Linked DNA regions of Sus scrofa. The protein of the gene in region 2 binds, or shares a complex with, the protein of the main gene of each other region. Links are inferred from orthologs where the notes say so. Each region holds a gene or a part of one and is shown on either strand. Other genes may lie near its edges.

Region 1 (6,576 bases), about 16 Mb from region 2:
AGGACGCAGGTTTGATCCCTGGCCTCACTCAGTGGGTTCAGGATCCAGTGTTGCCATGAGCTGTGGTATAAGTCACAGATGTGGCTCAGATCTGGCATTGCTGTGGCTGTGGTGTAAGTCAGAAGCTGCAGCTCTGATTTTCCCCCTAGCCTGGGAACTTCAATATGCCATGGGTGCACCCCCCCCAAAAAAAAGACAAATAAATTTTAAGAAATTAGCTTGCAAATTATGAAGGATGCCAAGATCTCTTAGAAAACAAAAAAGCACTCGCCATAAAAGAAAAGAAAAAAAAAAAAAAGATAAACCAGACCTCATAAAAATTAAAAACTTATGCTCATTAAAAAAAAGTTAGAGAGTTCCCGTCGTGGCGTAGTGGTTAACGACTCCACTAGGAACCATGAGGTTGCCGGTTTGATCCCTGGCCTTGCTCAGTGGGTTAGGAATCCGGCGTTGCCGTGAAATGTGGTGTAGGTTGCAGACGCGCTCGGATCCCGCATTGCTGTGGCTCTGGCATGGGCCGGTGGTTGCAGCTCCGATTGGACCCCTAGCCTGGGAATCTCCATATGCCGCAGGAGCGGCCCAAGAAAAAAATACGCAGAAAAAATAATACCATTAAAAAAAAGTTAGAAAATAAATAGGTCAGACTGGGGAAAAAATGCTCTCAAAAGATATAACCATAAATATTTTAATCCATTAATGAGATGTCAAGAAAGTAAAGGCAATCTTCACATTGGGTGAAGTGATGTAAAACCAGAAACCTAGAAGGTAAGTTAAAACTGAAGCCCTGGGTGTTCCCTGATGGCTCAGTGGGTTAAGAATCCCCTCTTGCTGAAGCTGTGACCAGGGTCACAACTGCGCTATGGGTTCAACCCCTGGCCCAGGAACTTCATATGCTGCTGGCACAGACGAAAAAAGGAAACCATCCTCCTCCCAGCTCCCAAGCCCTTGCTGCTTTGACAGCCACATGGAAGAACCAGAGATGAACCTGCAATATTGATAGGAGATACTCTGTCTGCATAAGTCTGAGCTCCCCAAAGGGCTTACCCTTCTGTATAAAAGTGAGCAAGAAAAAAAAAAAAAATTTTCTCTGCTGAAGAGAAATCTGTCTCACTAGGTAGAGGGAGGAAAAAAAAGTCCCCTGAGAATTTCTAACCATAACCTGGCCTTTATACTGGATTTGCAGCCAAAATCCATGTTACCTAGGTGCTCCCAAAGCTGAGAATTAACTTAGTGATTCCGCCTTGGTACTGCCTCAAGGCAGCTAAACAGTAAACGCAAATGCTGAATATACAGCATTCACCACAAGCCTCAAAGAATTCCCATAGTTCAAACTTTTAAAAATCTGAGCTTATAGTAAAAAAAGCACAAAACAAAAGCAGCACCATGAGGGAGTCAGCAGAAATAACAGATGGCAGCATCAGACCCACAAAAACAGTGGGTTTGAGAATTAACAGACATAGAACATAAATATCATGTTTAATGTTTACATGTAATATGTTTTATGAATAAAAAGAACCACTTAAAATATGATTAAGGAATTGGGAATTATTAAAAATAACTAAGATGATTTGAAAAATAATCAGGATTTCCCTTGTGGTGCAGTGGGTTAAAGTCCAGCACTGTCACTGCAGGGGCTAGGGTTTGATCCCTGGCCCAGGAATATCCACATGTTGCCGGCATGGCCACAAAAAAATCAAACAGAACTAAAAAATCTATCCAGAAACAGCATAAAGAGAAAAGAGATGGAAAATATGGGAGACAGGGTGAGAGAAATGGAGGATAGAAGATAAGGCCTAATAAAGAGCTAATCAGTTAGAACTCTAAGAATATGAGAACTGAGCATATGAGGGAAATATTCAGTGTGATAACAGCTGATAATTTTCCAAGGTTGATGGGGGAAAAAAGGTCAACCCTCACTGTTGGAAGGCCCAACACATCCCAAACAGGATAAATAAAAGAAAGCCACATCTTGATAGATTGTAGTGAAATTGAAGGACACCAAAGACAAAGAGGAATTCTTAAAACTATGTTTTAAAGAACCCATGTTCTGGGAGTTCTCGTCGTGGTGCAGTGGTTAACGAATCCGACTAGAAACCATGAGGTTGTGGGTTCGATCCCTGGCTGCTCGGTGGGTTAAGGATCTGGCATTGCTGTGAGCTGTGGTGTAGGTTGCAGTCTTGGCTCGGATCCCACATTGCTGTGGCTGTGGCGTCGGCCAGCGGCTGCAGCTCTGATTAGACCCTAGCCTGAGAACCTCCATATGCCTCGGGAAGCGGCCCTAGAAAAGGCAAAAAGACAAAAAAAAATAAAGAAATAAAAATAAAGAACCCATGTTTTTTAAATCATCCATGACTGACTCTCACCAAAGTAAAACTACCTTGAGGGCAGTGGAGGAGTCCAACATAACACACTGATCACAAACCAATACTCATTTCCTTTTAACTATTGTAAAAGGTTTAATTCACTGGGTATAAAAAGATAGGAAAAGAGTAATTATTTAAAATTTAAAAAGACCACAGAACTTCCCATCGTGGCACAGCAGCACAAGCAAATCCGACTAGGAACCATGTGGTTCAATCCCTGGCCTCACTCAGTGGGTTAAGGCTCTGGCATTGTTGTGAGCTGCGGTGTAAGTTGTGGACGCAGCTGGGATCCGGTGTTGCTGTGATCTGGCGTTGCTGTTGCTGTGGTGAGGCCAGAGGCTACAGCTCGGATGTGACCCCTAGCCTGGGAATCTCCATATGCCACGGGGTGCAGCCCTAAGAAGGAAGGAAGGAAGGAAGGAGGGAGGGAAGGAAGGAAGGAAAGAAGGAAGGAAGGAAGAAAGAAAGAAAGAGAGAGAGAGAGAGAAAGAAAGAAAGAAAGGAAGGAAGAAAGAAAGAAAGGATGGAAGGAAGGAAGAAAACGATCACAAACCTATTACTTGAACTGTACAGAAATGAAGGATGCGACCAGTCCAAAAAGTACAAAAATTAAACCACTGGATTTAAATTAAATCACGGGATTTTGGCAGCAAAGAGACCCAGAAGGGGCAGAATGGAGGGAAAGGATACGCACTTGCAGTTGGTACAGGTGTAGAAGACAGTCTGCCCTTCATCGGCTGAGCGCATCTGTCTGGTGTGGTATGCCATTCCCTCATGACCACAACGAGGACAGCGCCTGTCAACCTGGGAAGCAACTGGTAGGTTAATAATTCCCACTACTTCTCACAGACATCAAGCTACCACACTCCTCAGATACTGCTGGTTTTTGTTTTGCTGCACCTGCAGTACGTGTAAGTTTCCAGGCCGAGGATCGAACCCGTGCCACAGAAGCGACCTAAACCGCTGTAGTGACAATGCCGGCCAGATCCTTAACACCCGGCTGCACCACAAGAAAACTCTCCCCAGTCACTACTGTTTTAAAGACTCTTCTTCCCTGTTGTGTACAAAACTCTCCAGATCTGAGCCCTCCGTTTCGTTCCCACCCTCTTTACAGGGCCAGTCCTCGACGTGATTCACTTACCACGGGTCCCTGGAACTCAGGTCCTTCCTCCATCGACATAGGCATGGCTGTCCCCACTTTCTGGAACACAACTGAGGTCTTCACAACCTTCCCCTCAAAGTCTGCGCGGGCAGTAAGAATTGGTTGTGGAGACAGCGGAGGGGGCTGACACCACACTAATCCCTCTCTGTTAGGCCAGGAAGCTATATTCTACCCATCAGGTTTCGTGCCGACCAAAAGTATAAGTGCCTGATCCTGCGCTTTCGGGTCCCCGTCTTTAATCCAATCGATCTTGAGATCCCCATGGGCCCTCCTCCGCCCCAGCCGCGGCGTAGCAGCACCTCACCCCGCACGTTGATGGAGAAGCCACAGCGAGTACAAATGACCGCATCCTGAGTCCCGGGCAGAGGCAGGACCGAGCCGCAATCCGGACAGAAATCCAAGTCCGACTGAAAGCTAGAGGATGTGCGGGCGAGGTCCATGACAGACGGGTGGTCGAGGGCTGGGAAGGGGATGAGGAGTTTATTAAGAGAGTAGCCCCTTCCCCAGAGAGGTCATGCCTATTCTGTCCCTGGACGTAAGCATGCAGAACCCGAGATTTCTTCCTACGCATACCTTGTGCCTCTGTGACTAAGGAGCCCAAACTTCCGGAATCCCTATCCCGCGTCGGGTACAACTACGCTGGGGGTCTTTCCTGGGGCAGGCGAGAGGAGCAAGTCAACTTCACGGGCTAGAGCGCCGGCTCCGCGCGGGCAACCGAGCAGCGAGCGCGTGGCGGGCTAGAGAGTCCACGCGTCCCGGCTCTCGATTGGCTGTGACGTCATAATTAATTGCAACTGTGATCCCGAGAGCCTGGAGAGGGAGAGGAGCGGTTCTGAAGGAAGATTGTGGCGCCCCCTTCAGCCTGGTTCTGTTACGTTGGATACGAAAATAGGTGACGAAGCTGCGCCTGCCTCAGGTTATTTTTTCCCTTCAGGACTCAGTCCTGGGATGTTTATTTTATTGGTCTCGAATTTTACCAGGACCCAGTCGCGGGGAGCGTTTCTCCTGAGAAGTCGGACCAACCTTATAGAGTACTAATTTATTTATTTGGACTGGAGAACTGCAAACTCCAGCGGTTCCTGAATCTGCACTTCACTGTGGCGGTTGGACAGTGGTAGAAAACAAAGCGAAATATTCTGGGAGTAATTCTAGCATTCTTTGGGCCTTGCGACCCAAGCAAGGGCTCTCTGCAGGACCCGGTATGGCTCATGTGCTTTGGTGGCTGTTGCCTTGTCTATAGTGTAGATCACAGTTGCAGCTTTGATTCAGACCCTAGCTTGGGAACTTCCATATACCACAGGTGCAGCCTTAAAAAGAAAAAAGAGAGAGATCATGGTATTTGTAGATTAAAAATCATAGTTCCCACTCTTTATATGTTTAAATTTCAGCATCAAAATGTTTTTTGTATTTTGAGTTCATGTTGTGGCACAGCAGAAACAAATCCGACTAGAAACGATGAGGTTGTGGGTTCGATCTCTGGCCTCGCTCAGTGGGTTAACGATCTGGCTTTGCTGTTGCTTGAGCTATGTTTCGTTTTGTTCTTTTGTTTTTCCTTTTGTTTGTTTGTTTGTTTGTTTGTTTTGTTTTGTTTTTTGTTTTTGCTTTTTTTTGCTTTTTAGGGCTGCACTTACAGGATATGAAGGTTCCCAGGCTAGGGGTTGAATCAGAGCTACAGCTGCCCACCTATGGCACAGCCACAGCAACATAGGATCTGAGCCATGTCTGTGACCTACACCACAGCTCAGGGCAAGGCCAGATCCTTAACCCACTAATCGAGGCCAGGGATCAAACCCGCAACCTCATGGTTCTTAGTTGGATTTGTTTCTGCTGCACCACAACAGGAACTCCCATGACTGATTTTCAAATAAATTGTAGAAGTTATATTTTTTACTTCTATTTTTTACTTTGTATTCATCGGAAGGCAAAAATCACTGATACAGGAGTTCCACTCTATGGCAAAATGGGATGGGCAGCGTCTTGGGAACACTGGGACAAATGTTCAATCCCTGGCCTGGCACCATGGATTAAGGACCCAGCTTTGCCTCAGCTGGGGCTTAGGTTGCAACTGTGGCTCAGATCTGTTCTCGGCCCAGGAACTCCATATGCTGCGGGGTGCCAAAAAACAAAAACCCAAAACCTCACTGATACATAGAGTAGACTGGGCAGACTTAATAGTCTGGAGCTTGACCTATGGAGGATAGACAACTGCCATTTATTGAGACCTTACTGTATTTTAAGCATTGTGCCAGGCTCTTTAATCTAATTGTCACTTATTCTTTATAACCCCAAGAGGTACATTTTTTCAACGAGGAAACTGTTTAGAGAGAGATTGTTACTTGCCCTGAATCACACACCTGGGAATTAAAATTCAAGCATAGGCCTGTCAGGCTCCAAAGCCCATGCTCTAAACCATAACTTGTATAAATAAAGGCGTAGAGATGAAATGCCAGGCATCCTCAGTGGCTTAGCTACGACCTCACAGTAGACCAGAGATGACACACAAAACCTGATAGTCCTCACTTGTGTTGCCATCAGCCTGTCCTATAAATAAACCCAGAGTAACCACAAATTTTCATCCCAAGGAGGTCAACAGGGAATGGCCTCATAATGGATTTAGGGTAAAGGATGATTGGCAGAGTAAAGCAGACAAGCAGACTGGTGGTTGATCAAATAAGAACAGAATTTCACCATCAAATAGCAGAATATCAGAACGAAAGATTATAGGGTAGAGATGCTGTATGTTGTGATAGAGGCAGAGAGGGCCCGGCTCCAGAAACTGCACAAAGAGAATGAACTGATAATACCAAAGCCTAGAATTATCTCAGAAGACAACAGAAGCTATGGGACTGAGCAATATGTCAGAGATGGGCTTGGGCATTGCTTCACCAAGAAGCCTGTCTCTTCCTTCTCCCAATCCCTGGTGCAAGATTCAGAATGGTTCGCCTTGAATCCACAGGAGAAGTATGCTGTTAGTTTATATGAAAGGATTACAGTTGGCCCTCTGTATATGAGGATTCCCCATCCACAGATTCAACCAACTGTGGGTGGAAG
Region 2 (6,465 bases):
GGTTTTTCTAAGTACCTCATATCACAAAGGAACTAAAATTAATTCTTAAAATTCCTATTTCCCACTTAAGAAGGGCCTCTACATTGGACTGGTCTATAGAAAGGACTGCTGACCCCAAACATTCATGTCCAGATGTAAAGAAAACACACAGTAGGCAGCTGACCCAGGAATCCAGAACTGTAAGACTTACCGTAATCATCTAATGGAACTGTTTGTCAGATGTTTGTCTCCCTTATCAGCACCAGAAAGTTATTGTCCCACTTGTAATGACACTTGCCCTCAGTGTTTAAAATAGGAAACTATTTTTCTAACGGAGTTTTCCTTTCTCCCCCTTTTTCTTTTTTTTCCTTTTTAGGGCTGTACCTGCAGCATATGGAAGTTTCTAGGCTAGGAGTCAAAATGAAGCTACAGCTGCCGGCTTACACCACAGCCAAAGCAATGCCAGATCCGAGCCACGTCTGCGACCTACAGCACGGCTCTCGGCAACGCTGGATCCTTAACCCACTGAGTGAGGCCAGGGATCAAACCGCATCTGCATGGATCCTAGTTGGGTTTGTTAACCTCTGAGCCACAAAAGGAACTCCTCCCCTCACCCCTGTTTTTCTTTATCTTGGCTGTGGCTGCCGCATGTGGAAGTTCCTGAGCCAGGGATTGATGCCACACCACAGTTGCAGCCTGTGCCAAAGCCGTGGCAAGGCTGAATCCATAACCTGCTGTGCCTCTAATGGAGTTTCCACAGATTACAATTACTCATGATGTATAAGTGCTTGAGTGACAGCTGGGTATAACCGATAAAATGTTTCCCTGTCAGCACACCTCTTTGTACTGGTTTGTCACATCTGATTAGTTTTCCTCCCAATGTGGAGAACTAGGCAAACATAAATAACAAAAAGTAAGCCTAGGGAGTCCCTGTGGAGGCTCAGTGGTTAATGAATCCAACTAGGAACCATGAGGTTGTGGCTTTGATCCCTGGCCTTGCTCTGTGGGTTAAGGATCCGGCATTGCCCTGAGCTGTGGTGTACGTGTCAGACAGGGCTCAAATCCCAGGTTGATGTGGCTGTGGCGGAGGCTGGCAGCTGTAGCTCTGATTGGATCCCTAGCCTGGGAGCCTCCATATGCCATGTGTACGGCCCTAAAAAGCCAAAAAAAAAAAAAAAAAAAAAGGGTAAGCCTAGCACCAAGGGACATGAATGGACCAGAAGCAAGCAGCTGCATCACTCCTAGCAACAATGAAAAAACCAACACCTTCTATGGAGAGATTTACACCTAAATGGGGGAAATGATGGAAGAAAATTTTCACATATTCAAGTATGAAGAAATGATTCTGGCTTATACATTACTTAATTTGAAATCTAGGCTGACCCAAAACAGCCTATTTGTGGCCTATTAAATATATATTGTGGGAGTTCCCATTGTGGCACAGCAGAAACAAATCCGACTAGCATCCATGAGGATTTAGGTTTGATCCCTGGCCTCAATCAGTGGATCAGGGATCCGGCATTGCTATGAGCTGTGGTGTAGACTGCTCGGATCCCAAGTTGCTGTGGCGGAGGCAGGCAGCTGTAGCTCTGAGAACAGCTGTAGCCTGGGAACTTCCATATGCTGAGGGTGAGGCCCTAAAAAGCACATAGAGAGGGAGGAAGTACATCTGCTTTAACTATTAAGGAACAAAATACATTCAAAGAATAGTACAAATATGCATTATGATTATTATCCTCTGAATTATTCTCCTGCCAACTTCCCCTTGCTAAAAGCAAAATGGACTTGGTCTGTTTTTCATTGGTATGATCACTTGCTAAACATCTTTACGCCAGGTTTAGGTCTTGAAAATGTTGCAGCTCATATTGAAACTTTAACAAAATTTACACAGGAGACTTTGAATGAAAGTCATTTTTTTAAAAAATAAAAAAAAAAAAGAAGGTAATGCTATTTCTTTACTCAACGATGAAATGACGTCAATGAGAAAAGCTATTCTACAAATCAGGATGGCCTCAGACATTATCACAACCTCCCAGAAAGGAACCTGTGCCATCATTAAGGTGGACTATGCTGGATGCTATTTCTATTTTATTTTATTTTTTGTCTTTTTTGCTATTTCTTGGGCCGCTCTCGCAGCATATGGAGGTTCCCAGGCTAGGGGTCTAATAGGAGCTGTAACTGCCAGCCTACACCACAGCCACAGCAACGCGGGATCCAAGCCGCATCTGTGACCTACACCACAGCTCATGGCAATGCCGGATCCTTAACCCACTGAGCAAGGCCAGGGATGGAACCCGCAACCTCATGGTTCCTAGTCAGATTCGTTAACCACTGCGCCACGATGGGAACTCCTGGATGCTATTTCTTTACCCAATGTTGAAATGACTTTAATGAGAAAAGCCATTCTACAAATCAGGATAGCCTTAGACATTATTACAGCCTCCCAGGAAGGAAACTGTGCCATCATTAAGGTGGAATCTTGTGCTTTTATTCTTGATGAATCTGCTAATGTATTTCAAGTGCTAAAACACAAACACAGATTGAGACCTTCAGTTGCCTTCTTCCAGATTTGGGAGGGCTTTTGGAGGAATGAAGGAATGGATCCCCAAAATCTTGGCTACAATCTCTTTTAATTGCTTACTGCTGCGTTTCTCTTGATTTCTTTAATAGATTTATCATCTGATGCGGAAGATCAACAGAAGCCACAAGGTTAACACTAACAAGCAGCATTGGCTTATTATTTTCCCAACAGAGGAGGGACAGGTGTTATGCTCCTTCTCTAGACAGACCTATGACCCATCTCAGGAGGAAGCAGCTAATGATCGGTCTCTCCCTATTTGCTCATTTAAGCATAATGGAGTAAAACAGCTGGAGGAAGGAATGATGGGGATAGAGTAGGATAATCACATAGTTTAGAAGTCCCACTAGGGTTTAAAGACAAAAAGGAAATGTTAAGGGGGTTTGAAGACTGCTGTAAGCCAACAACCGACCACTTAAGAATCCAGTAACTTAGCAACAATCTACACCACCTTGAAGGAAGACCAGGTGTATCTAAGCACCAGAAACAAGCCACAAGTCCTGATAGTTAAAACCCAAGACAAGAGATATGGGGTTTCAATCTTGTTACATGAAGTCAGAGTTATTGGTCCTTGAAGACTGGCATTGCTGCATGTAGACAAGGTGAAAGAGGGAAAAAACTAGGTGAAAGGGGAAATTATTCTGCAACCTGAAACGAATTACCACATTTTCGCATATGTTACCGCTTCTGCTAATATACCTATGATTTAAACAGCCCATGACACTCCCCCTTAGACCATATAGGGTCAAAGGAGGAACTGATGATGCAAGCCTGGACCATCTTACCCAAGAATGAGAAATAAGGTGGTCTTCTCCCCGCCCCACTTTCACCTTGATTATAAAAATGTAGCCCTCTTTGTTCTCTGGGTCGCACTCCCTTGCCTGCTCATTAGTATTTCTGACAAGCGTCCTATGCTAATAAATTCACTTATTGTGTATCGGTTTGCCTCACGCTGAATTCTTTTTCCCACGAGACAAAACCTGAGGCTCAGGAAGTCCTGACGATAGCAGGTGAGCGGTATCAATTAAGACAGTGGGTTTGAGTCCCCTCCTACGTCAGGGACCATGGGTTCAAGTTCCAATGGGGGTTTTGGCTGAGTTCGAGTCCCACCCGAAAGGGAGTGCAGCTTCAATCTTTATTGCTGTTAATCGCCCTTACCACAACTCACTAGAGTCGTGTTACCTGTACTCTTTTCCAAAAAGACCGAACCATCTCGTTAGCTTGTAGAACAAAGCAGAAATTGTGCACATCGAGTGCCTAACACATCCAGAGCGAACCCCCAAGGCAGTTTCCGAGGAACAGGATGTTCAGAGTGCAAGATCCGATCCTCATACCCTCTCTGAACACCTCCAGCTCTACCCACCTTCTCGAAGCGGTCCTGGTCCCAGGCATCATCATAGCCCGAATAGTTACCGGGAAAATCGGTAGTATGAACCTAGAGCAAAGAGAAACGAACCTGTTCGCGAAGGAGCAGCGAGGCCAAATTCATCCCCACTCCGACTCTAACTCATCCCTGCTCCGCTCTGATTTCTCCTCCCGAGGTCAAGTCCACAAGACTTACATTGCGAACCCCGAACTCCCCTAGAACCACGCGGCTCCGCATTTCCTCCACAGCCTGAGCCGCCGCCATCTTCAACTCCACCATGTGACTAGAGTACCAAGCCTGCGCGTGCGTTCTAGTCTCCCTGCCCCGTCTCCGTGGCAACACACCACCTCCCGGAATCCTAAATATCGCGAGAATCTGCCCCGCCTCCGTCCACGTCCTCAGATACCGGAAGTCAGTTTTAACCAAACATCCGGTTTTCTCCTTTTTGCGTTCCGGCCGATCCCACCTTTCTTTCTAGTCCCTGGACCTGTCCATCCGTCAGGCCCTCATCTCTCCCACTCCTCCTCAGCGCGCGGGACTAGCGCGGGCTTCAGCGACGGGAGCCCTCGAGGGACATGGCAACTCCGGCGGCGCCGGCCGGCGGCGCCCGAAATGGGGCTGGCCCGGAATGGGGAGGATTCGATGAAAACATCCAGGTAAGCGCCCCACGGCTCCGGCTGCCAGCAGCCCCACGGCCTGCAGCTGTCCTGAAGTGTCATGGGGACTCTTCCTTCGAGCCTTGGAAGTCTGCTCCGTTTGCAGAACTTTTTGTCTTCTTTGGGTCTTCGTGCACGTGAAAGGCAGTGGAACTAGTGCGGACCTAAAAGGTCCACACTAGTACCTCTGAGCCCCCTTGCTCTTGCTTTCCGCACAACTTAGAAGGTCGGGCACGGCCAGGGGCGAGGGTGGGATGGGGGGTAGGCGGGATTCACTGGCCAAAACCACACTGTGCGCGCAGCCTTGTTTTGGGGTGGAAAACACAAAGGAAATGGGCACTTTTGCAGCCTTTTGTGGCTTTGGTAGGAAAAGGACACGTATGGAAGACAGGGAGTAGGTTTCCCAGGCTGGAAAAGAGAGCCAAACAAAGGTTCTGAGAGCAGTTGAGGGGAGGGGAGTGGCATGGTCTATGGTAATTCTAAGCCGTATCTCCAGCAGTGAAAGGACAAAGCTCCAAGCTCTCCGGTGAACAGAGAAGGACATAACGGATGGAGCAGAAAGGTCCTCCACTGTGGGATCCGTTGTCTTCACAGGGTGGGGGCTCAGCTGTGATTGACATGGAGAACATGGATGATACTTCAGGTTCCAGCTTCGAGGATATGGGTGAGCTGCATCAGCGCCTGCGTGAGGAAGAAGTGGATGCTGATGCAGCTGCCGCTGAAGAAGAGGATGGGGAGTTTCTGGGCATGAAGGGCTTTAAGGGACAGCTGAGCCGGCAGGTGGCTGATCAGGTAAGCAAGACTGGCTCTCTGACAGGTGGAAAAGTATCCTGAGGCCTCTGGTTCTGAGTTGGTATTAGTGAAGTTCACCCCAGCTTGTCCAGTTAGAACCATGTAGAGATCCAACAAGAAATAAGCAAAAGGGCCTTAAAGCCAAGAGTCTCACGATACCCTCCCACCCCACCCGGTCTTCCTTGCTTCAGATGTGGCAGGCGGGGAAGAGACAAGCCTCTAGGGCCTTCAGCTTGTACGCCAACATCGACATCCTGAGACCCTACTTTGATGTGGAGCCTGCACAGGTGCGAAGCAGGTGAGGATCCTCCTGACCGAAGCTGCCTTCCTGACATCTAGCCCTTCATCCACTCTACAAGCAGACTCCAAGCCCTTAGAATCCCCTCTTCATGATTCCAGTCACAGAACAGGGCTTGGCGAGAACACACCTTCCTCCTCTTCTCCATCTAGCAAACTTCTCATCTTTCCTCAAAACCTAGCTCAAATGTCACTTCCTTTGCTCCCTGTTCCAAGTTTATCCTTTCCTTTCCTGATGCTCCACTAGGGCTTTGCTTTCCTTTAGCAGACAGCACTTCAGCGATGCTGTACTTTGTCATTCCTGGGTCTGTCTCCCCAGAGACCTCCTCAAAAAGCAGGCTCTGTTTTATCTTTTTTCTTTCTTTTTGTCGCCACCCCACAGCATGTGGAGTTCCCCAGCCAGGGATCAGATCCCAGCTGCAGTTTCAACCTATGCTGCAGTTGTGGCAATGCTGGATCCTTAACCCATTCTTCCGGGCTGGGCGGTTGAACCAGTGCTCCAGAGCTGCCACCGATCGAGTTGCACCACAGTGGGAACTCCTCCTTGTCTTTTTATTCCCAGCACTAAAATAGTCTCTGAACCAGACCATTGGTACATTGTTGTCAAGTTATGTTTCAAAAACCAGATTTAATCTTGCTTTGATTCTTTGTTCATCCTTTAATTCAGCTAATGCTTATCAAACACCCAGTACCACTCTACAAGTATTTACTAAGCTTTTGCTCTGTGTCAGATCCTACAGTTGTGTCTGATTTAGTGGTGACGACAAATGGGAACCTTATCCTCGGGCACAGCCGTG

The links. The genes of interacting proteins can lie anywhere in the genome.
Region 1: POLR1C (region 2) and ZNRD1 share a complex: the UniProt entries of both Homo sapiens proteins name them as parts of the pol I pre-initiation complex. The link is inferred for Sus scrofa from reciprocal best matches to the Homo sapiens genes POLR1C and POLR1H.

The regions. Positions count from the first base shown.
Region 1 is NC_010449.5:22,624,526-22,631,101, reverse strand, and holds the start of ZNRD1 (DNA-directed RNA polymerase I subunit RPA12), read right to left. Parts: upstream 4,232-6,576; 5' UTR 4,099-4,231; intron 3,986-4,098; 5' UTR 3,966-3,985; coding exon 3,830-3,965; intron 3,606-3,829; coding exon 3,505-3,605; intron 3,168-3,504; coding exon 3,058-3,167; intron 1-3,057. UniProt on the Homo sapiens protein: Core component of RNA polymerase I (Pol I), a DNA-dependent RNA polymerase which synthesizes ribosomal RNA precursors using the four ribonucleoside triphosphates as substrates. Can mediate Pol I proofreading of the nascent RNA transcript.
Region 2 is NC_010449.5:38,509,322-38,515,786, reverse strand, and holds the start of POLR1C (DNA-directed RNA polymerases I and III subunit RPAC1), read right to left. Parts: upstream 4,267-6,465; 5' UTR 4,203-4,266; coding exon 4,119-4,202; exon of another isoform or gene 4,047-4,118; coding exon of another isoform or gene 4,014-4,046; intron 3,993-4,013; coding exon 3,921-3,992; intron 1-3,920. Other genes in the region: protein YIPF3, read left to right, coding at 4,499-4,579, 5,174-5,371, 5,563-5,669. UniProt on the Homo sapiens protein: DNA-dependent RNA polymerase catalyzes the transcription of DNA into RNA using the four ribonucleoside triphosphates as substrates.